Linked DNA regions of Oreochromis niloticus. The protein of the gene in region 1 interacts with the protein of each later gene in a pairwise test. Links are inferred from orthologs where the notes say so. Each region holds a gene or a part of one and is shown on either strand. Other genes may lie near its edges. The genes, in order: rxraa and nr0b2a.

Region 1 (13,037 bases):
GTAAGACAGGTTACCTACACAGAAATGTCTGCTATAGCAGCTGTTAGCTGCAAAGTGATACTTGGCGGGGGGAAAAAAGCCTTACATGTGGAGAAGGTAGGCACACAGTGTTTATTAGACCTGCAGTTCTATGAAACCATTGTAGAAAAATTCTGCTTTCCCATCTCTGGTTTCCCATCATGACATCAGCTATTCTTCTGACACCACCCAGCCCCCCAACATTTGACCTGGTGACAGCAGGAGCCTGTCCTTTTCATCTACTTTTAATCTTACCCTCAGTATTAATATGAGTACTTTGGACGTTTGCTGCTTTGAACGGAAGTAACCCACTGCCAGCGGCCAGTCCATTCACATACATATTTGAAGAATGTTTCTGTTTCTTTATTTTTCCTTCTAGCAATCTCCCTAAGGTATGGAGGAAATGGAAAAAAAAAAAAGTGAGGGAGAAAGAGAGAGCGGAGATATTCTAGGGGGGATTGTGGGAACCCACTGATAAAGGCGTGCATCTTAATCCATCCTAAGGCCTGTCTTATGCTATGCTCTGAGCTTTTATGTGATCATTAGGAGTGTGTGCCCTCACGCACATCCACATGCATGCTTTAGGTATAAGTGTGTGTATGTGGCTTTGCATATTTGATATGTTAATGTTCACTGATGCGGTGGTAAATTCTTTTTGAATCTTGTATATCAAGGCTCCTCGAGATCCTTACAGTAGATGTCTTCTATAGAAACATGGCACACCCACTCGTTTTGACAACAAGGTAACAGTACTACAAGTGGAGTGCATAATGACTTGTTTTATAGCACATAAGTATATTAAAAGCACTAATTAATGCTTTGCAATTCCTCTCTAATGCTTTGCACTAGGTAGGGATTTTCTGTGTGTGTCTCTCTCTCTGAGGTTATGCCTTCAGCTCCCTTGTTCCTCCTTGAGCTTTAGTGGAATTTGGCTGATGTGCGCCAAGGGGAGGAGAGGAAGGAGGCGCTCATCTTGTTTCAGTGCTTTATGAGTCTGACGTGTTCGTCTGTAATTGCAGTTATGGGTGATTAAACTCTCAATGCCCCTCAGGATCCACAGCCAGCTATCAATCAGCGTCGGGCCGAGCTGCACAGCACTCAGATTGGTTCCTCTGTCTGTCTGTCAGATATCCTGCTTCATGCCGCTCTGTAACATAGCCATATAGCGGAGCTGCAGTTTGCTGTTTTCAAAATAGGCAAACACATGTTGCATTTCGAGTTTAATCAAGTGATTGTCAGAAAAGGGGAATGAACTGCACTTTTTCTATGAGGTGTCATCCTCCCTTGTTTATATTTTTCTGTTTAACAAAGCTGAGGCTTAACAAGCCTTAAGATAAGTCGATTTGTGAATTCTTGACTTTACAGGTCACTTGCCAAGCAAAAGAGCCACTTAATGGTTTAAATTTTTAACATTTTCTGATGTATTTTTTGTAGTTACATAAATACATAATATGCCATGTGCATATTGAATAAATTGAGTGATTAATTACTGTTTTCACTCTTTTTTAATATCCTCCTCGTCTATGTGTTTTAGATACTTGCTGAAGCATATATGCGAGGCAAATCATCTTTTATAATTTAACTCTAAAAGCTGATGTGTGTGGGTGGGTGGGTGTACATGGGGCTTTTGAAATTAATAATCTGTTGATGGCTTCATGGTATCTTTTATGTTTATGTATTCATACCCGTGCTGTCATGCATGGCAAATCATTGCAGTGTGTTTGCATGTCTGGTAACATATTTATGACTTAAAAAAATTGGTGGGTAGATCAGCGGGGGTGGAACTGAGGCCTGCTACTTGCTCGTCTAATTGGTGAGTGTTTGCATCTGTGTGTGTTTATGAAAAATGTGCGACTTATCTACAGAGGCAATATACAACCGCGAGAGTCTTGTCCTCCTCACTATCCTCCTCTGACACTCCAATGGCAAGAGGACAGCATTTTCTCAGCTGAGAGAAGATGGCAGCCAGGCATCTGAACATTTCCTATCGCAAGGATTTGAGTCCAAGCAAAACACTTCAGCATGTGTGTGGTAATGAGGAGTGTGCCTGTTTGTGTAAGTTATCTGCAGTGGCCTCCTCCCATTAGTTTGCTGACTTGGTTGAGCCCTTGTCTTCTGTTGAAGGTTGTGTGTTTTCTTTTCTTTGCCTCCTCCTCTGTGTTGTACTTCTGAATGCAACAAGGATAAAGAAAAGAGTAATTCACACCCTCGTTGCCCTAAGGATCCTTGTTAGATATGGCAGAGTGACCTCACAGTGGAGGATGCAGTGCCAAGAGGGCAGGAAAAATAATTTTTGTCAAAGCAAAGGCAGAAATATGAAGAAAAGAAAATAGACTGAAGTGAAGAAATGACTCCTCTTGCACCACATCTGAAGCCTTCGCCTAGACTGGACTATCTGTCTGGGTCAGTTCAGGCCAGCCTCGGTCTGTAGTGTAAAGGGCGAAGTCTGTAGAAATTACAGGCTGATTAATGTGTGAAAGCCCACATGGACACTAAACAGTATGAATACACTAAGACCTCATACACAGTGCCATTTTATTTTTTGCATACTTGTCACACTAACATGTTTTAGATAATCAAACAAATTTTAGTATTAAACAATGATGACCTGAGTAAATACAAAATGAGATTTTAAAGGATGATTTCCTTTATTAAAGGAATAAAGCTCCAAACTTACTTAGGGCCCAAGCCCTACCTTGAAAAGCAATTGCCGCTATTGTTAAATCAAAGCTAACCACATTTGTTTCTTGGAAAGCTGAGTTCAATTTCACTAGTCACAGACGTGTTGAAATCACGTACATAGAACCTGTCCGATAAAGTGAAGTAGGCTAAAAGATCGCAAAAAGCAACCCATCATGCCACGAGCTAAAGAAATCCAAAAACGGGTAAGAAACAAAGTCATTGACATTTATCAGTCTGGATAGGTTTATAACACCATTTCTGGGACTCCAGCGAACTACAGCGAGAGCCGTTATCTACAAATGGAGAAAACTTGGAACAGTGGTGAACCTTCCTATGAGTGGCCAGCCTACCAAAGAATGTCTCAATGGTCACGAAAGAACCCAGAACAACATCTAAAAAAGTGAAGGCTTCACTTGCCTAAGTTAAAGTCAGAATTCATGATTTAACAATTAGAGATTTGGCAAAAATGACAAAAACAAAACACTGCTGGATTCTGATAATTCTTGAAATCAAAAAGAGGTAAAAAAAAAATGCAAATATGAATCTCATATTTGCTAAAAAAAAAAAAAAACATTGGTGGTTCCCATCAAGATGGAAAAATATTCTATTGACGACGAGACAAAACTCAAAGATTTTATTCCTGTTACGTCTGGTGTAAAGCTAACACAGCATTTAAAATTAAAAGCGCATCGTACCAACAGTCAAACATGTACCTGAATGATTTGCTGCAACACACCAGCAAGTATACCTCTGAATCACTAAAAAAAACCCAACCCAAAACCAAATGAAGGTTTGAGAGTGGTGCTAGAAAACCCTCCAATATGGTTGAATTAAAACAATTCTACAAAGAGTGGGATGAAATTCCTCCACAGCAATGTGAAAGACTAATTGTCTGTTATCCCAAATGCTTGATTGCAGTTCTTGCTGCCAAGGCAGGCACATCCAGTTATTAGGTTTAGGGGGGCAATTGCTTTCTCATTTACAGAAAGGTTGGTCCTGCGACTGACTAATGACTCCAAGGTGTACCCCACTGTTTGCATGGATTAAAAAAGAAGGAAAAAAATTAGGAAGTGACAAATACTTTTCACAGTACTACAGACTTGGTGTATAAGTGAGTATTTAAATTTTGTTTAATAAAAATAAGAAAAAATTGTAAGTGATAGGGTTGAGTGGTATGTTAAAAGTTTCCAGTCAGCCAATGTTGGTCCATCCCAGTGTATTTGCCAACAGCTAATGTATTTATCCTCTTAACCCTAGTATGCTCTATCAGTTTACTTTTGCTTTTCAGTGGGCAAAGAAAAAAAAAAGGCCTTTAAGTTGGTGGAAAAACCCGAGCTGAAGCCTCTTTTGAAAGTTTTGCTGGGCAGCATGTGTTTGTTGGCAGACTGCCAGTGAAAATGCAAGAGAGGGGAAGTCAGCAGACTGGCTGTCTTCTGTTCACTGTTGTTCAGATTGACTCTGTCAGGCTGGCCTTTGAGGCCTGTAATCCAGGTGGTCTGTTCTTTGCGGCGCCCTCTTCCCTCCTCATCCTCCCTCTCTCCCTTCACCTCCGCTGCCCCGTGCCCACAAACACGCCTGGCATCAGCGGCTTCCTCTCTGAGCAGTGGTGTCTTCCTTCCACCAATCACATGGCTCTGCAGTTATGGGCACATTGGTGTAAGCCAATGAACGACACCTGTTTCTCTCAAGAGTGCTTCTACATGCCAGTCATAACACCCACTTTATTTGGCCTCTGTCACAAAGCCAATCTCAACACGTAATTCACGGGCATCCAGGCCATGAGAGGCACAGGCAAGAAGAAATATGGATTTTAGCGATGGGGAAAGGACCTTCTCGAAAATTACTTTCCCAGCACAAATGTCACAGAAAATCTGTGTTGCATCATTGCATCATCGGAAAAAAGTATCATGCAGTAAAGGAACCTTTTGATAGGACTGAGGGATCATTGTTCGGTGGTAAGAGTGGAAGAATTACTCATTTTCTGCCTGAAAGCCTGAAAACTTTTCCCATGTTTCTGTGTACACCTGAGACTAGTCGAAGGGATCACATGTTTTAGCTTTTCCAACATGTATATGTTTTATTTTATTACAAAGATTTTCCTTTTTCAAGCCTGGTTAAAAAACATATAGCAACTGTCACTTAAGAACTGCTGCAGTGTTGTCAGTCGATGCCATTCAGATTTCTTTGCACTGGCCAAATGCAAACAAATTCCTGAAAGCTTTGAAAAAGTCTTTGTGCTTCACCAAATAGCTTGTTATAAGGGTTTATTGTCTGTCGTTTTAATTTTTTCTTAAGGTCAAGATTATGTATCAGATGTCTGCTTTTACACAGTAACTTTTTTTTTCTTTTCATTAAAGTAAAATGACAGCAACCTGTGAATTTATGTGGTAAGTTTAATCTGGCTCTTCAGCCTTCGGTTTATAATACTGTACTAAAACCTCACCTTAATAATACAAGTATTAAAGAAAACATATAAATTGTATTTCTTTACCAAAATGGAGAAAAAAAACATTTGCATTAAAAAAACAATACTTTTTTTGCTTAAACTGTTGGTTAAATATCTGACCCTATTGTAACCTACTCAATCTGACAAGACTTAATTTAAACTGGTTGCTTGATGGAGGTCATGGTTCACTAATGTTATGTTTATACGTTAAACATAACATTAGTCTATTGTTCTTCCCATGATTCTATTTTTTTCTTAATCTATATTCTGTTTTATTTGGTATGTCTTCTGCTTTGACTGTGTTATTGTACAGTACTTTGGTCAACAACTGTTGTTTTTAAAAGTGCTATATAAATGAATAAACTTGAAACTTAAAACTGAAATATTAAGCAGGGCTGTGAATCTCTTGGAAATAAAGAAGCACTTGCAATTGTATACAAGCATTATTGGAGGTTTTGCTTTACCTTAACTCCCCTTAAATTTGGCTGGTCTTTGGCTTTTCCATCAACATTACACATTGTTTGGGGTGTTGGGCTGCATATTTTTTTTACATTGTTCCTTGAAAGCCACAATCTTCTGGACTTTCCAAGAATGATGTATAGGAAGGCAGAGAAATAACAACCTTTGTGTGATTAGTGGTTTTGTTGCTCTATTGGGGACTTTTTTGTTTAACATGAACTTTTTAGAGTCCATTGTAACCTGGACTAAAATAAATATTCAATGGTGATTTTTTTATCTTGTGATTTTGATTTGAAAAGAATTCGGCTAGAGTATGGTATACCAATTGAAAATATGCAAGAATATATTTTGGGGGCAGTTGTGGATGACAAATAAATCTTCAGTGACCAAGGGCAGCTACCCGCCTTGAGTTGCTGAAGTTGATAACAGTAAATAATAGTCCTAGTTGCATGAACACAGCTTTTAGAGTCATTTCTATTACATTCTTGTAAAATGACCTTGACTGGGCGCTTTAGAAAACATGCAGAGCATACATAAGTGCATAGAATCAGTCAGTGGCAGATTCCTCTCCAACACCTCAAGAGGCAACCGACTCCATTGTGTTTTTGTTTTGCTGATTCTGTGTAAACACAGGCTAGTAGTGGTAACCGCATCCCTGGCAAAAGAAATGGGTTTTATAATGAAAGAACATGTTCAAAAGCACAAACATTAAGAAATAGAGAGAGAGAGCGGGAGACAGCAAGGCTTGGAAGCTGATCGAGGTATCAGTAGAGAGGAAAAAGAACTGGCAGCACTCTAACCAGTGTGTCTTCCCAGGACATAAAAGACTTGCTGCTCCGAACTGGGATTATCCTCCACCTCTGGGGAGTCCCTGTGATGAGCAGCAAAGGCAGAATAAAAGATGTGGAAAGAAATTGAAGGAAACAGTAACAGAGGAGAGGAAGTATGGGGAAAAATTAAATGTGAAAGCATGTGCACTGGGGAGGGGTAAGACACATGCATCTATAGACTCTGATCCACATATATGCCAGCTCCACTTACGGACCTGCAAATACTCAAGATGCTTCAGTTGACCATGTTTGTGCTTTCTTCTTTTTTTTCTCTTTTTTTTTTCTGCAACCTCTCCTGACCCCATGAAAAATGGCCCATGCTGGTAATTCAGCCATGAGCCATGTCCCTGTTTGATCTAGCGTCTTCCTGAAAATCATCTCTCCAGGCTCAGACATTTTAAATCAAATGTGATCCTTCCTTTCTAGCAGAAAATACTTGTTGGAGATGCAGATTGCAAAGGTCTACACTGCAAAAACACAGATCTTAATGATACCTGAAGAGAAATCATTTTGTGGGTAATGGGTTTAATGCATTCTTTCTTTGCACGTAGTCCACCTCTCCAACATGACATTGAAATTCAGCATATTAGTCTTTGCAAAATCTTGCTAATAGGCTGACAAAAACATAGCATATGGCCATGACAGCAGCTTGGCTTTCACCTTGATTTAAGAACAATTGTCTCTTTCATGAAATTTCCAAAGTTGTCGCTTGTATTCTTCTGGAGCAAATTTGCTACACAGGGCAGTGTTTAGATTTTCACTTGCTTAAAGAAAATATGAGTTTTAGAACCAGCAGTGTCACTAAGCAGCTCTTTTGGGACTTGGCAGCTGAATTAATTGTTGGTTTGAAATAAAGCATTCAGGGGAGAAACGTTACGCTGTTGACACAAGCTGTTTGAGTTGTCCATCTGACTTATTTTGTTAATAATGGGCCAAAAGGTAATTGATTTTGTGTGTACTGGACAGACTGTCTGTGTGCAATAGAGCAAGAGAAGGGGGCGGATGGAGGCGTGGGGGTGGTAAGGTTGGGCCTCAGTCAATGCAACTATATTTTCATGATTTTGCTTGTTTGTCTTGGATACAGCGTGCCTCCGATCCTCTGGCCTGCAGAATTTTGTGTTTGTTTTCGGTGAGTCAATGCACTGATCCAAAGTACACTCCTCCAGTGACAGAACTGACAGAACACACATGCGTGTTCTTCAGGACATACAACCTCTGGTCTTATTGGAGCGCGTGTGTTCCCACCCAGTTTGCGAGGCCTCTTCCTGCAGCACGTACACACATAGTTTCCCATCACCCTCCGAGCGGCCCCCAGTGTTTTAAGCTTTCTCTGAGAGACTTTCTCGCACTTTGTTTTCCTCCCCCATTTGAATCTCTGCTATCTATTTATGAATCTCTAGCGCTCATTCTATGTGTTCATCCATCGATCAGTCCATCTCTACCCATCATTCCCGTTCCCTTCATCTCTGGCTTGTTTCCCAGAGGAAGAAGGAGAAGGAGTGGGGGGTGGGAGTAGGGCAGTTCCAGCTTACGGCCAGCAGCCAGCTCCTTCTCCATTTGGATTTCATTACAAACAGACCAGCACCTCACAGCTTACAACAAAAGAATAATAATTATAAGGGCAAAAATGAGAAGAAGAAAAAAGGTGGGTGGAAGACATCTAAAAGGCTTGTAATACAGTCAGTATATTTAATCTTTCCGCTGGGGCGGGAAATAAAGCTTTGGTGTTGATTCTGTGTCTCAGAACTAAATGTGAACCATATACTTTTGTATTTTTGTATTTAGATTTGTGTAAGAGGACAATTACCATTTTTATAGGCTGAATACTGACTCGGCAAATGAATGCAGGGAGGGTGGACATAAGGCTCTGTATGGGTCAACATCTGCCTTGGGCTAATTCCAGGTGTTGCAGAGAGTAAACAGCCACATAAACAGAGCCTAGACACACAGTGTTCAGCTTTTGAAGTGTTTCAGTGGTTCCTTGACACAAATGGAAGTCGTCAATCGCCCACTGTCTCCAAACACGTTAGGAAGTGACAAATTCCTCATCCTGATGTCACCAAAGGGTAGGGACAGTTTGTTTTTGCCATCGTGGTAATTGGTATAATTAGTCATCAGTCACTGATGGCTTTATGACTCCAACGTCAATACAAGACACACCTTGTGGAACAATTTCACTTCCACTCCTCCACATATAATGCTGTATTTTTTTTAATCTTGTGCATTTACATTTATTTTCCCTGCTAATGGTGTTTGTATTGACATTTTAAAGACTGCTCTTTATTATTTACTTAGTTGTGATGACTTTTTTCTGACTTTTATTGCAGAAATTGCAGAAAAAGATCAGTTAAAGTTTCTGGATTCGTTTTTGACTAGCCTGAAGGTGAAATACAGAAATCCATTCAGCTGTTTAGTTGGTTTAATTATATGACTTTATTATTTGTAGTGTGGCTCGCAGTGTTCTTAAAAAGAAATACTGGCCACACAGACCTCAGATAACTTTAGTTTGTGTAGTTGCACGGCATCATTGAGCAACCATTTATTATTTTTAATGTTGACACTGGTGCTTTTAGGCCCCTCTTATAGTCTATGCGCAAAAATAAACCACTTTGTTCTCTAATATTTTTCTGAGTCTAAATATATATATATATATATATGTATGTACTTCATGCAAAATTTTCAAGGTTTGTTTTAGTGTTTTTCTTTCTTTGTCGTTCCACAAACCATTTTCATTTTATTTCATAAGCGTAACCTTGCAGAAACGTGACCCTTGTTTGAAATAATGAATGATGAATCATTATGCCCAGCTAGATATGAAAGTAAAAAAAATTGATCTGATTCTTTGTACCTGGTCTTGCTAAATTGCATTCAGTCATGTGCTTTGCTGTCAGCTCATTATCTCTCTGTGTTTGTGTTTGTAAGTATATACTCGGTCGTGCGCCTTCAAGTGTGTTTTGGCAGTGAGCAAGTCCGATAAGGGCCTGTGTTGTGATATTCATCTCTGGGCTCAACAAAAGAGGAAGTTCAATGAATCAGAAGCTTCCTGGCTGTGTTGTATTTCCCCAGTTACATGTATTCATAGCAGTCTTGGGCATGAAACCTTAAATGTCCTTAAAAGGTTTAAATACTTTTTTTTTTTTTTTTGCTTTGCAAATCTTAATCATAGAGATTTATAATATAATAAAGCAGGTGGTAAAGGTAATGTTTTCTCATCATCTTTTGTCTGCGAACTTCAAGAATCGCCTCCAAAACCTCCACATTATCTGATTAGGGTCATTCAAAAAGCCTGTCAGTCTTTACTGTCTTGAATATTACTGACCTCTTTTGACTTACTAAGCTGCTGTGGTAATGAATACTCAAACAGAGCCGAAGAACATCAGTTGCAGTGTAATCTTCTTCACCCGACAGCTGCTCTGCAGGCTGCAGAAGTAATTATCGCTCAATGCCATGTCTTTGATCAACCACTATTGTCAGTTGCCGTCTATGACATAAGCCGCTGACCAAAGCACAGCAAGTGAGATATAGTCACTATGCTGGCTGTCATTCATTTGTTGAGTACATTTCCTTCACAGTAGCTGTGTTGCCTTCATTCTTTGTGCCCTTGGCCTTTTTACTCCTTCTCTTGGTGTACTAGTTTTCTCCTCACAGTGAGAAATGTGTGTAAATGAATTTGGTGTGTAAATAAAGCTACCTGCTATAGGTAGTACTTCCAGTGTGTTTGCCTTTCTTCAAGTAAAGCAAATCACTGAGCATGACTGAATTTACAGTGCAGTTGACAAACAGCCACCAAGTAATTCCATACTTAAATAAAGCAATATGGGAAGGATAAGCCTGGTGATTAGTAGGTTAAAGAAAACACTTTCCAACTTTCCAAGTGCGCTCAGTCACCAGGGTGAGTGGCATTCACATGAGGCTCTAAGCATGGAGCAAGGTTTCTAAAGTGTGTCTTTACCCAGTGAAAAATATGTTAAACTAAATTTGATGCTCACATTTCCTTTTGTAATTTCTCAGGTTGTTCAACCAGTTGCATTTGGCTTTGCTTCACACTCTTCAGAAATGCCTTGTTTAAAGGTTAGACCAGAAAGTTACAGTAGTGTGTGAAATGATCTGTACATAAGAATTTGGCCCAACCTCAGTCAACTGCACCTCTGTGCACGAGCTGGTTGGTGCGCTGCGTGGAGCTCCCAGGGAGAGATGGTATATCACCTCAGAGCTAAAGACAACAATTAGGCCATAACAGCAGATCATAGTGTTGGCAGCCGGGGCACTGTTAGCAATAGTGCCAGTAATCTGTGGCTTAGCTGGCACCTAGCCACATCCAGCCACAGCTTCATGGCCTCTGCAGACACTTAAGAGTCACTGAGGGCACCAGCATGCCCTAGGAGCTGGCTCTTTTATCTACATGCTATCAGGGAAATGAACTGAAATGGGAGGAAAATAAAGCCTGTGAGAGACAGAAAGGAGTAAAAGGGAGGTGGGAGGGAGAGAATTAAGTCTTTAATGAGGGCAGTTGTTTCAGCAGGCAAAAAGAAGCGGGTTATATCAACACAGTGTATCAAATGATGGCTGTTAGCAGCCCACCTACTGTGAAATTATGGGTGGCCTGTTTTGGTTCTTTTCTGCCACTTATCCCACATTAAGGCCTTTATCTGTTGCTCCTACACTCTCTTGTTTAATCTACAAGTTGGTTCATGAATCCCAGCAGATGCGGGCTTAAACAGACAGTATAAAGAGAGTCTGGATACTTTTGATTAGCACTGTCATAAAGATCGAGGTATAGTTGCAGCTGGCCTGTCTGATCATATCTTGTCTTGTTAAAGTTCCCTGATCACCATGTGGCTCCTTGCACTGTCCTCAATCCTCACATACTGTATTGAGGATTGAGGACTTAACTAATAAAAACTGAGATGACAAAAACGTGTAAACATGGTATTTTGTTTTATCTTGTAGCATAGTGTTAATTGTGCAAGGACCATAATGAGCACAAAGACCACAGGAAACAAAGGACTAAGAACAAAAACCCATTTAATGAGCCTATAATGCACCTTTCTAAATTCATAGTCAGCAGAGATGCTGATAACATTCTTTTGTGTGCAACCACTCGTTTCTAAAAGTAAGACAGCGTTAAAGAAGTAACAAGCAGGCGTGTGTGAGAAATACCATCCAAACTATTTTAAGTTATAAATGCTTTAAAAGCTTTCCACTAAGATTTACAAGAAGTACAGAATATATAAATTCTGTGATTATTTATTGACTAATTTATTGCATCAATCCCACTCACTGAGTTATCAAAATCCTCAGTGTGCAACTGGAAAACACAAGGTCAAGTACCTGTAGAAGTTCACATCAACAGAAGAAAGAGGGTTTATTTCAGGGTAAAATAGTTGGTATTTGAAAATAAGTAATATTTTTAAAAAATCTGCTTCACTTAGCTACAATATAATGACTAACTATTTGTTAGGCAGTTTCACCAGTGCAGTTTTATATATATGGTGCCAAATAATAACAACATTTGCCTGAAGGAGCTTTATATTGTAAGGTGAAGACATTAGAATAATAGAGAGAAAACAGGAACAATCGAAAGGTCCCCTTTGAGCAAGCACTTGGTGACAGTGGGAAGGAAAAACTTCCTTTTAACAGGAAGAAACCTCCGGCAGAACCAGGCTCAGGGAGGGGTAGCAATGTTCTGCAACTGGTTGGAGGTGAAGGGAGGAAGACAGAACAAAAGACACACTGTGAAAGAGAGTTGGAGATTAATAATAACTAATGATTGGTGGAGCTTATCCTAACTGCCCTACGGTGAGAGGCGGGCACACCAAGTCACCAGCCTGTTGTGGGGCTACGGAGAGACAGACAACCATTCACATTCACATTGTTGGGCAGTTTAGAATCACTAATTAATCTAACTCCACATCTTTGGACTGTCGGAGGAAGCTGGAGTATGCCGTTTTAAACCGAGGACCTTCTTGTTGTGAGGCAACAGTGTTAACCACCACGCCACAGTGCTGTATGAACAGCTAGTGCTTTTATTTATAGCTTAAATTACTTGCTTACTTGCATTTTTTATTAGATAAGAGAATTCCTCGCTTATCCATATTTTTTGCATCATTGCAAATAGAAGTTTTCAGATTTTTACTGCTCCAGAGCCAGAACAGGTTGTTTACTAGTGGAAAATGCAACTGGGAATTTTTTCTGTCCAAATTTCAGACGTTTTATAAACATAATAAGTTTGTAAAACAAAACCTTTTTTTAGAAGTGTGCGCCGATTCTATGCATAACCTGTTGATATTTCATCAGCCAATCACAAGCTCGCTCCCTACACCATCTTTTACACACAATAAACACACACACACACACACACACACACACACACACAGCCCCACTTCCTCTCTCCTATCTACAGAGTAAACATATCAGACTCAGATATTTACACTTTGGACATAACTGAAGGCACCAGATTAGTCTGTTTATGTAGTGGAAAACAGTAGACAGACATTTCCCAATTAATGAGCACACATGCGCACACACAGAAAGTGTGAAGCTTAATGAAAAAAAAGAACAATGAATAATGATCTAGTTTTTGAAGCACATACACAAAGTGG
Region 2 (12,209 bases), on another chromosome or scaffold:
GTAAAGCTCATCAATTCATAAACTTTCATTAGTAATAATTACAAATAACAATTATTAAGCATGTTAACATTTTTTTCATAAAGTAATAAAGTTAAACGCAAGAAGCCATCTTGGAAAAACCTGCAGGAACTTTTTCAGGTAGTTATTTGAAAGAATTATCTGAAAATAATATTTAAGAGCATTTCTAGTTTAATTCGATTTTAATCTCAAAATAAACACTAATCTTTTTTTCTGTAATTTTTAGGTGTTATGAGCAAAACCTTTCAATTAATCAAATCTGATTAAATTAAAACAGCCCGGGAAATCCCTCCTTTTTACTCCCCTTTTCTGAATTCTCCATCATAATCAAATTCAGGATATTTGGAGAGTATCTCTCTCTCCCTAACGTCTTTTCTGAAAGTACTTTTTCTCTTTCTACTATTGCATATGATGTTTTTGGTTTTATGAGACTCCTGCATTATATTGTCTGTGTATGTTTTATAGATGTAAATGTTTAATGTTGAGCTCATTTAAGCTTGCTTTTTTATAATGTGCGTACAGTTTAATATACATCAACACATCATAATATATATGAGTGTTGCGTTTATAGCGTCCCTGACCTGTCAAAGCCAGGTAGCTCTTAAAAGTCTTTTTTATGGGCCTAGAAAACAGCCCTGTTTACCTTTGAACAACCCTTGTTACAGCTAATCCAAGACCGTTTTTAACTCTTTATATATCAGAAGGAGAAGGCTCTCAACCCATAAAGGAACATGTCCTCATTCAGTTTATCAGAAAATATCAAAGTCACAGAATTCAGAGATCCACAGTTTTTCACTGTAATCTGAAACTAAGGCTGTCAGACAAATGCAGTGGAGTAAAGGAAGGAGTACAGAAACCGTTAGCTCAACTTTGAATGTCAGTATTTAAACATTTATTTATTTAGTGTACAATGTAGATACAGTGGAAATTCACATGTACCAGCTTGTGTGTGTCTGTCAGCCACAGTTTTCAGGACCCCAACACCTGACTACAGACAGACAGAAAATAATAAAAAGCATTTTTCATTATCAGCTTGAATTCAAAGTCTAAAACAGGAACTAACAGAAATCCAAATAAACATATTAAAGAAAGAAAAGCAGTAATATAATAATAAAACTAATGCAGGGACCCAACATACAATCAGCACAAAAATCCAGACCATAGCCAAAGAATCATCAGTCTTTTTTATATTTTCACTGGGAAATCCCCCCTGACATCCACACAACCAGTAATGCTCAAAATATATAATCAGATTGCTTAAAATCACATCTTGGGTCTTAACGGTTGAATTTTTTGTTTAAAGTCTGTATATAAATGTGCTGTGTAATTTGTGGAAAACAAAATGATGCAAGATCTTTATGATCGCAAATCATAAATATAAAATTATAGAAAATAGAGCCCAACTGATACTGATACCGATATTTGGCGTAAGGACAAAATTCATTTTTCTTTAATGTATTTTTAAAATCTGATATTCCAGTGTATTGGCTTTTTTTTCTCTCAGACACACACAACATATACAGATTTCCCTTTTCCAAATTTGTTATATGATATTTTATATTTTGTTGTTTACCGTCCGTCGATTCTGCACAGGTCAGCTGGTTGCTGTGTTTGTGGATCCCAAACAGGTAAATTATGAACACAGAATTACATTCAGATGCCTTCAAATGCTGCTAAAATTAACACTCTTTACATGGTTGATCGGTCTTTCTCCAGTTTTTCCTTTAGTTTTAAAATGTTCTTTTATCTGCTATTATACATGCCGATACCGATAGCTCAGTAAATAGTCAACTGGATTAATAAAACTGCTTAAGCGTTGTCCTAATGTTTTCATACAGTATATATTATAAAAGGTCACATCAAAGTGGCATCGATGTACTTTGATAGACAACAGGTTTAATCATGTCTCACTTGGCTGCACAGGTATATTTCTTTTCACACTGACTATAAGTCGCCAATTCTGCCTCTTTAACAATGGTCACAGTAAAACCTTCTTCATTTCATTAGAAATACACCAAGATGTGTTCAAAACTGTTTAACTTAACTTGACTAGTAAAAGGATAAAAGAGAAAGCGGCAGCTGGGAAATATATCTAGTCAGAGTTCATTAACCCAAAGGTAACCCTTGCTTTGTCCTTCACCTCAGCTTTTATTGTTGTATTTTTATAGTAATGGGCAGTAAAACTAGACTCGGGTGTCTGGACTCTGACATTATGTCACACATCATATTACACACACACCATGCATTAGTCATCACCCTCCTGATTAGTGGAAGTTCAAACAAATTCTTGAGAATGTGCATGTGTGAACGTGTGTGATGTAAAAAAATAAAAATTAAACCGCAGTAGATGTGGTTAATATGTGATTAGATCATAAAACAGCCACCTAACTCAAGAAATGAACCTGTGTTGTGTGTACACATAGCAGGCAGCTAAGCAAAGAACCAATTTTAAGTGGCAACAAACACATCATTAGTTCCCACTTGTTTAGTCAAAACTATGAAAAATACCAAAGATAACACAATTTGAAAGACATAAAATAGTATTTGTGCACCAACAAGGTCGTTCAAAACTTGGCAAATCTCAGCATGGTGTGCAGTGTGTCATTAAAATTTCAGCCAGTGGTGTTGGGGATCTTTTCGCAATTGGTGAAATTATGAACGTGTATAGTCAGATTTTGAACCACCATTCAATAACACGTGAAAAGCATCTGATTAGCAGAAGCTTCATTTTTCAGCATGACAATGATCTCAATCACACTGTCAATGCAATAAAAGCTTTGGCACATATACATATATATCCTGCTGCAGCCTTTTAAATATTAATGAAACAAAATGTTTCAGTATATGTATTAAGGCATACACAGGAAAAGAAATCACTTTCTAAATGCATGAACAGATTCTAACATGAAGCAGGTATAAATCAAAGAATTTGCTGGATGTCTATTATATACAGTCCCGATCAAAAGTTTAAGACCACTTGAAAAATGGCAAAAAACCATATTTTGCATGGTTGGATCTTAACAAGGTTCCAAGTAGAGCTTCAACATGCAACAAGAAGAAATGGGAGTGAGACAAAACATTTTTTGAGCATGCAATTTATTGAAAACAAGGCTTAAACTGAAACAGGCTGTTTCATAGCTGATCAAAAGTTTGGGACCACATGCCTTTAAAAGGCCAAATCTGTGCAAAAATGTGGATTTATTGACATTTTCTGTCAGGTAGTCACACTGTCATGATGTTCTGATGGCAAAGGCAAAAAAACTTTCTCTTTTTGAACGTGGTCGGGTTGTTGAGCTGCATAAGCAGGGTCTCTCGCAGCACGCCATCACTGCTGAGGTGGGATGCAGTAAGACAGTCATTTGGAATTTCTTAAATGATCCTGAGGGTTATGGAACAAAAAAGTCAAGTGGAAGACCCATAATTTCATCGAGCACTGAGCCGGAGGATCCAATTGGCTGTCAGGACATTGGACGATCCTAAACCCAAATTAAGGTGGCTACTGGTGCCGACTGCAGCCCCATAACCATCAGACGGAATCTGAGACTGAAGGGCTTCAAAGACAAAAAACGTCTTCAAAGGCCTCGTCTCCTTGAACACCACAGAACTGACCGTTCAGACAAGAGAGCACCAAACACGGGACATGGAAAGGTGGAAGAAAGTTTTATTCTCTGATGAGAATAAATTTAACCTTGGTGGTCCCGATGGTTTCCAACGTTACTGGCGTGACAAGCAGATCCCACCTGAGATTCTTTCTACACGTCATGTGGAGGGGGCACCATAATGGTCTGGGATCCTTTTTCTTCAGTATAACGATGGAGCTTCAGGAGGTGCAGGGGTGTCAAACGGCCGCTGGCTATGTCCAGATGTTGCAGAGAGCATCCCTCATGACTGAGGGCCTTCGTCTGTGTGGTAACGACTGAGCGTTTCAACAGGACAACACTACAGTACACAATGCCCACGGGACAAGGGACGTCTTCCAGGAGAATAACATCACTCTTTTGGACCATCCTGCGTGTTCCCCTGATCTAATTCCAAATGAGAACCTTTGGGGATGGATGACAAGGGAAGTTTACAAAAATGGACAACAGTTCCAGACAGTAGATGCCCTTCATGTGGCCGTCTCCACTACTTGGAGAAATGTTCCCACTCACCTAATGAAAACGCTTGCATCAAGCACGCTGCAACAAATTTCTGAAGTGATCAACAATAACAGTGGAGCTACTCATTACTGAGTCCATGTTTGGAACTTTGATTTCTGTTATGGGTTTTGTGGAAGTGTGGTCCTAAACATTTGATCAGCTGTAAAACAGCCTGTTTCAGTTTAAGCATTGTTTTCAATAAATTGCATGCTCAAAAAAATATTTTGTCTCACTGCTATTTCTTCTTGTTGCATGGTGAAGCTCGACTTGGAACCTTGTTAAGTTTACAACCATGTAAAATGTGATTTTTTTGCTCACTGGGGCACATTCTTGAACAGTCACTGCCGAAAAACTCGGCATCATTTGAAAAGAGGATGTTTATTTTAAAGTTTATTCTTAAAATTAAAGAGCTCAAAAAGGGGAATGATAGACCATTTACTACTTCATTTAATAATTCTTTCATTTAAATGTCTTTTTTTTGGTTGTTCTTTTATTTCACTGCAATTGAGGTTCTATGTGTATATAAATGCAATTTCAATCTGAGTTTTAATTTAGTGATTCTGTTTTTTTTCTTCTCCTGAGTACATGTTCCCATGAGGCCACCCTGTGTGAATCATCTTTGGGTTGATGACCTTATTAAAATGGAACCAGGCAAATGAACCTCCGCTGTATTAGCAGTGGGTCAAGGCCAAAAGTCATGTTCAACACATGACGTCCATCATGCACCCACGTGGTAGCACGGAGCGTTCAGTGGCCTGAAAAAACTGGAAGCAGTGGAAGTTCAGGCACTCAGTCTGTGAAGATGAGTCTGAGCTACTTGTTGACACATATCCCACAAATCCAATAATGCAATTACAGTAAAGTCACCTAATAAATTCTTTTAAGGTGCATGAATTTTGAAGATATTAGGAAAACAGTCTCCAGCTCCTGTCTATTACATCATACTTCATCACCATCTTGCTTCCCTTTACTCCGAACACAGTGGTTGTTCTACTTATAGTATGAAGGACGTTTTCGTTTTACTGTCCTGGCAGAGATAAGCGTCTGTCCTCCGTGCCCGTCTGTGCCTGCTCCAAACCTCTATAAACACGGGCCTTATCACAAGCATTTACAACTGTCAGCATGCTTGATGAAGCCTGAGGGCTGCTGAGTGAAGTATAGGTCACTTTCCTGAAGGGAAGATAACCCATGCGTCTTATCATGTTTTGAAGCTGCGGTCCACTTCGATTAGGCTTCTGTGAGTACAGACATCGTGTCCCATATGATTGATATGATACTGTCCATCATAATGAGATCACCCTGTGAAAAAAAAAACAGGGCTGTTAAACATTTTTCATGTATTCTTTCAAGGAATGAGTAAAGGCATTGATAACGTAAAACAAATATTCGGTGACTGGTGCTGCCAGTTGTGTCTGGTGTGTAATCTCTTTATTACGGTCATTCACTTTATGAACTGACCTTGACACAGGTACCCTGCAGTTCAGATCTTCCTCTTAAACTTCCAGTTTCAAGCTTCTGGGCTTGTCAGGCTTTTTGGCAAATGTGTCACTAAATAACAATAAATAACGAGGATGGTACATCATATATGGTGGCACCCGGGATCACTGACTATCATAAATGTTTTACTGTCTATAGTTCATGGCACTGGATGTTCAAACCAGAGGTCTTCCACATTGGGTTGTTTGTTTATTTCTTATGATAATAAAATCATTTTCTTATCAGCCCCAAACCTCGGTGCCAGGTACGGGGAAGATAACAAAATAGGATAAATGCATTTAAATGACAAGTGGAAAAGTGTACGACATGTTACGGACGTCATGAACTCCACGTACAGGATTTTGTTGTGCTCCTTTCAAGTTTCATAAACTTGAAAAGAAAATTCATAAAAGTTAGTTTGATATATAAAGAGATATAAGAATGTCACAGACTGAAGTAAGATCAACCTCATGAGTACAATAATTTGCCATGGCCAGTACAAATGTTTACTAGATATTTTTTTCGCAGTACAGTAGTACAGCACGTATCAGGGCAATCGCCGTAAAGTCTGCACACACAGCCAGGGCTGGAAATTCCCTTCACAGTACACAGGAGTTCGACCCAGACTGATCTGGATTTCTTTTATATTGACTTGAGAACATTTTTTAAATATTTGTGTGTGTATTTGTGAAGATATAAGACACACAATTTCCAATTTTATCCCATCTCACAATGATAAAGAACACTTCTAAAAATTCCTGGTTCCAGATTTGCCCTAAAAATGAATAACTTCCAAGGTCAATTTTAAGTAAATCCCTACATACATCTGAAAAAACGAAACACTTAAGCTTCAGATAATAAACCAAAACCCCCAAATTCGTAAAACTCACAAAAGCAAAACCAATAATAAATAATAAATAACAGTTTTATGCAGGTGGTTTTGTGTTTAATTGTAAAAAATATTTTTTGAGGGGTGGTGGGAGAAAAAAAATGTGTGTAGCAGTTGTGTCAATAGAGCAGTTTCTCACACATTAGTTTTTTGTTTTTTTATTGAGTGGACGGGTCAGAGCTGGAGGGCTGCAGGTACGGTGCAGTCTACTTCTTGGGTGCAGACTGAAATATCTCAGCGGTCATTTTGTACAGATGCTGTGGATTCTCCAGCTAATAGATAAACGGCCACACACCCAGTCCAGTCGCCTCAGAATCATCATAATCACCTGACCCTGCTTTAATAGTAAGTCCCCGTGTTACACAAAGCTTGACCTGTGATCCACTAACCAGTTATCTCTGCCTGTTCCCAAACTGCAGATTAATCTTTACAGGAGGGAGGGATTCTCGAGACTGCCAGCGATCTGGACTTTTAGTGGTGTCGGTGTTTTCATTGGAACATCCGTTACAAATACAAAACATGAAATACAATAAATACCACTGGGCAGCTGCGGATTCACCAGTCTGGGTGTCAAAGTACTCCTGGGTGGTATGCTGAATCCTGAGTCCCCCCTGATGTATCCATCAGAGTGTGAGCGTGTGTTTTAGGCACAGATAAAAGTGCTGTGTGGATGTGTGAGACTGTAGAAAGCAGTTTGAATTTGATTTCAACTGATCTATGCAAGTAACAGTCCATTTACCAGTGTGTGATAGTGCTGAAACGCTATTTCTGTACCATAAATAGAACCATATTCAAGGCTGTCCTGTGGTACACAAGAAGGTTTTCTAGCTCTTCTTCACAGGTTTGTGCAGAATTTGTGTTTTAACTGCATGCTTGTAGTCTTTACATTGCAATGTGGCAGTGAAAATAAATGTCTGCTTTCTCAAATATGTGTCCAACCTTTCAACCCTTGTGAGCTGGAGGAGGCTGAATTACAGTTCTCTTATATAAAGCTTCCTCTGGTTAAAATCACAATATAAATAGTAATAACTCAGCTTGTTTAAAAGTCAAGATTCCTTGCCAAATAATTCAGTTTTATTTATATAGTGCCAGATCGCAGCAACAGTTGCCTCAAGGCGCTTTATATTGTCAGGTAAAGACAATAACATCAAGGTGGCTGTTTACAACCAGTTTCCACTAAATTAGAGTTTTAAAATTCCAGCTCTGTTCTGGGATTTTACTCTTTTATTTGGGAAAAAAAAAAACATGAAACACTTTATTTGAAGTTATCTCGCAGGTCAGTGACCCAAGTCTACTTTGGCCTGTTTCCAGTATTACAGGTGTGAGCTGGCAGCAAGCAGGGGCTCACTGTGGGGCTGATTACTTTTTGCAGTCCTTGGTAGCTTGGTACTGCCTGGGTTAATGACACCGGTTACAAGATAAGACCCAGCCCTCTTGATAGCCAGACGTTACTTCAGCAGCTCCTTTTCATTGAGAAAAGCTTATCAGTTTCCCAGGGTTGTTCCAGTCACCTGGCAGAGCACACAGTTGTTTTTCATATGGAGCATATTGACAAGTCAAGGTCCACTGAAGCAGGTTGGGCTGGCCTTATAAATAGAGGGAGACTCCAAGCAGCAGCAGCAGCTGTGCTCACAAGCTCGTGAAGAGCCCATCCTGCCAGAGGATTCATTTAACTGCCTACACAATCTGTGACTCGGTTAAAATGGACAGCGCGTGTCGTTGTTCAACCAGCAGTGATAGGACTTCAAATCCTATCCTGTACAACATCCTGAGCCAAATGGATGGCAGCAGACTGAGCCAAGGCAACTTCAGCTACAATTCAGTGCCTCACAGATGCAAATGTGAGGCACGACGGACAGTGTGCTTGAAAAGGCCGTCGGAGATTTGCAAAGAAGCTTCGGCGGTTCTGGTAAAAACCCTAAATTTCATGAAAAACTTGCCCGCCTTTAACCAGCTGCCTCCAAACGACCAGTTCGCCCTTCTGAAAAGCTGCTGGGCGCCACTCTTCATTCTGGGTCTGGCCCAAGAGCGTGTGGACTTCGAGGTGACGGACATCCCCACTGACAGCATGCTGAAAAAGATCCTCCTGAACAGACCCGAGAGCCCCGAGGTGGAAAGGGAGCAGCCCACTATGGCCGGTGTCAGCAAACTCGTGTCTTGCCTCAAAAAGTTTTGGAGTTTGGATTTGAGCCCCAAGGAGTACGCATACCTCAAAGGGACCACGATATTTAATCCAGGTACATATTCGATGTGTTCAGCTTCAGCTTTCTCTGGTCAGTGTTCGGTGGTTTAATAACGGTGTCCAATATTAAGCATTCATGTAACTTTACAGTTTTGTTTTGTTTTTCCACCAACAGACGTACCAGATTTGAAGGCAGCCCTGTTTGTGGAAGGCTTGCAACAGGAAGCTCAGCAGGCCTTAAGCAAGGTGGTTCAGCTCCTCCACCCGGGGGACGGGGACCGCTTTGCTCGAATCCTCCTCACAGCCTCCATGCTGCAGAGCATCACCCCCAGCCTCATCACTGAACTCTTCTTCCGGCCTGTGATAGGACAGGCGAACCTGCTGGAGCTGCTGGTCGACATGCTCTTCTGCAGATAGGAGCGGTGGATTTTAGAGCTTTTCCGTCTTTGTGAAATGAAGGAATGCCTGATGGTGGGCTGCTCTAAAACACATTTACTATTAAAAAAAAAACTCAAAGAAAACAAAAACTGTGAATTGTTGAAGATGGGGTTATGAATTGCTTACACTGAAAATGATGCCGAGGTCACTGTAGCCCAGTCTGACACGATTTCGTCCAATTGAACTGGATTTGACTTTCTACATTAGGACAGAGTGTACCTACTGTCCATATGTTTGCTTGATCTCATGACGGGAGCTCTCTGTTGTAAATAATTATTGTTTGCATTTACAAAGGTTTTCAAATAAATCTATTTTTTTTACACGAATGAAGAGTGAAATTGTGTGTCAGTCACCTGAAAAGGGAAGCCAAATCAAACATTGAGTTTGTTATATATGTACCAGCTGGAACATCTGATAGTGACAGTCTGGTTTGAACATTTGACCCCTGCACTTCATTGGCAGGCCCATCAGTGATATGTGCAGGACAGCATGTACACATTAAATTCTTGTTGTTGCCAGAGCTCTTAAAAAGCAAATACCTTGAAAATGGGAGTAAAAGGATGATTTTGGTGGTCTTTAAACAAACATTGGAATGAAGTAGAAAACTTTTTTTTATGGTAGTATTTCTTCTTTGATCCAGGAAGTAGCGAGCCTAGCATTTCAACCAGATGCCTCCTCAAGAAAAATGCTTGTCAAGTCATTTTTACCTAAACAACCTCTGCATTAAAATGTCAGGAAATGTTTTACATGTTACATTTAACATGATTGCTTTTTGATTTAAAATAATTTAACAGCTAGAAGACTTTATTGAAAATAGGTTTAGATAACTGTATTACAGAAAAACAAATAGTATCTGAACACATTAAAATGATAGGAATACAAAAGAACTTTGCACTGCTTTAACAAATAAAGACCTTAATGAAGCCAAAAAACAGAAGAAGAAAAAAAGCGTTTACAGAGAATATCTCAGTTCTCTGTGTGAAAATGTCCCGTTGATAGCAAAGGTCAGAGGAGAATGACCAGACTGGTTCGATCTGATAGGAAGGCAACAGCAAGTCAAATAATCAGTTATTACAGCCAAGCTGTGCAGAAGAGCTTTTCTGATAGCAAAATATGCCAAACCTTGAAGCTGATGGGCTACAAGCAGCAGAAGCAGAAGACCACACTGAGTGCCACTTCTGTCCGCTAAGAACAGGAAAATAAAGCTACACCAAAGCTGGACAATAGAAGATTAGAAAAATGTTGTCTGGTTTGATGGGTCTTATTTTTTGCTCCAATAATCAGATAGTAGGGTCAGAATTTGGCATAAACAACATGCAAACAAAATTCGGCTTTGAGCTGAGGCTGGTGGTGGAGTGATGGTGTGGGGGATACTCTCCTGGCACACATTAGTACCCGCTGAGCATTGTTTAAAAACCACAGCTTAACCGAGTATTGTCGCTGACCGCATCCATCCCTTTTTGACCACAGTGTACCCATCTTCTGTCGGCTGCTTCCAGCAGGTTAACGCACCATGTGACAAAGCTCACGTCATCTCAAACAGTTTTCTTTAACATGAAAATGAGTTCACAGCAGTCAAATCCCCTCCACAGCCACCAGATCTCAATCATATAGTGCAAATTTGAGATGTGGTGGAATGGGAGGTTTCCATCATGAATGTGCAGCTGACAAATCTGCAGCAACTATGTGATGTTATCATGTCAGTGTGGACCAAAATCACTGAGGTTAGATTCCTGCATCAATCTTTGGAGAGCATGAAAATGATTCTACTGGTGGGAGGAAATTAAAAAGGGAGCTTTTAGGGGATATAACACTATTACAAAAGCAGAGTTATTTATTTATTAATTATAGAATAGGTGGTGGAAATGACAGCTTAGAAAAACATAAACACATTCTTTTTAATCGGTTGTTGGATTTATCAGGGGCCATAATTATATCCATGTTATTATTAGTTATGTATCTTGACCTGAGGATGGAGACACTATGTTTAAATGTAGCAGCACAGTTTTATAGGCAGTCTACGTAATGTGCTTTCTTTTTTCTCTAATGGTTCTCTGTCCCCCTCTCATGGAAAACAGTGGAAGTCACACATTTTCCCAACAGAGAGAACCATAAAAATTAAGCCTAAACTTTATTGCATTTGCAAATCCTTATCGGTGCAAAAGCCTCACTCGGAGTGATTTTAAATGTTCAGCACCTGAAAGCAGCCAAGGAAAAACTTAAAAGGCTAAATCAGCTGTGACGGGAAACTCTTGACTGGTTCTTGGAAATCTGCAGGCTGCATCACTTATGGAACAAGCTCACGATTGGTCTTGTCCTGTGGTATGTTAGTTGTGAAACTGTGAGCCTTTAAATGACACCTACATACAGGTAAAACAGGAATGTGCTGGTGGGGGAGTGAGCCAGGGGAAATGGGGTTACACAGGCCAAATGCAACACACACAGAAACAACTTCCCTAAAAGAAAAAAAAAGCTGTGTGTGTGGAGCTGAAGAACAGATAGTTAAGAAGTGTCATTGTCTTCATGCAAGCATTTACTGGGTTTTGAATAAAAACAAAATTGTTTCAGTAACTTTTTTTTGTGCGTTTTCTTGGTGCAATTTTGGCTACCGGTTTAACCCCCCCACCCCTCGTTTTAAAGCAGTAAGTCACAGCTGGACTGTACGGGCTCCGAAAATAAACAAAAAATAATTATTATTGACAAATGCAGCTTCATTTGTTTAACCCAGATTTGAACCGCTTCAAGAAAATTAGGCTGACTTTCTGTGCTGCTCCTTTGCCTTTGCCATAAATGACAAAGACAAAGCCGTGGATTTTATTTCCTTTCTGTAAGAACCAGCCAAACGAGTTCCTTCTTTTGCTGAGGGCGGAAAAAGCCTGCCTGCTGTAACACAGTGACCTCGGGGAGATGAGCCTGACAACAATAATCCCAGAGATAAAGAGGAAAAAAAATAGGCTGAAGAGAGAGTGCCAGAGAAGCTCGTGAAGGTAAAGACTTGTTGATATACACGAGCAAAATCATTTGCTGTCAAACAAATTGAGCTTTTTTATATACAGAGAGAGAAAAA

What was found.
Region 2: the proteins of rxraa (region 1) and nr0b2a interact in a two-hybrid assay, tested with the Homo sapiens proteins (2 studies listed by BioGRID and IntAct). The link is inferred for Oreochromis niloticus from reciprocal best matches to the Homo sapiens genes RXRA and NR0B2.

Annotation. Positions count from the first base shown.
Region 1 is NC_031972.2:29,161,744-29,174,780, forward strand, and holds the start of rxraa (retinoic acid receptor RXR-alpha-A), read left to right. Parts: upstream 1-7,544; 5' UTR 7,545-7,845; coding exon 7,846-8,080; intron 8,081-13,037. UniProt on the Homo sapiens protein: Receptor for retinoic acid that acts as a transcription factor.
Region 2 is NC_031976.2:7,489,297-7,501,505, forward strand, and holds nr0b2a (nuclear receptor subfamily 0 group B member 2), read left to right. Parts: upstream 1-8,140; 5' UTR 8,141-8,224; coding exon 8,225-8,759; intron 8,760-8,879; coding exon 8,880-9,121; 3' UTR 9,122-9,466; downstream 9,467-12,209. UniProt on the Homo sapiens protein: Transcriptional regulator that acts as a negative regulator of receptor-dependent signaling pathways. Specifically inhibits transactivation of the nuclear receptor with which it interacts.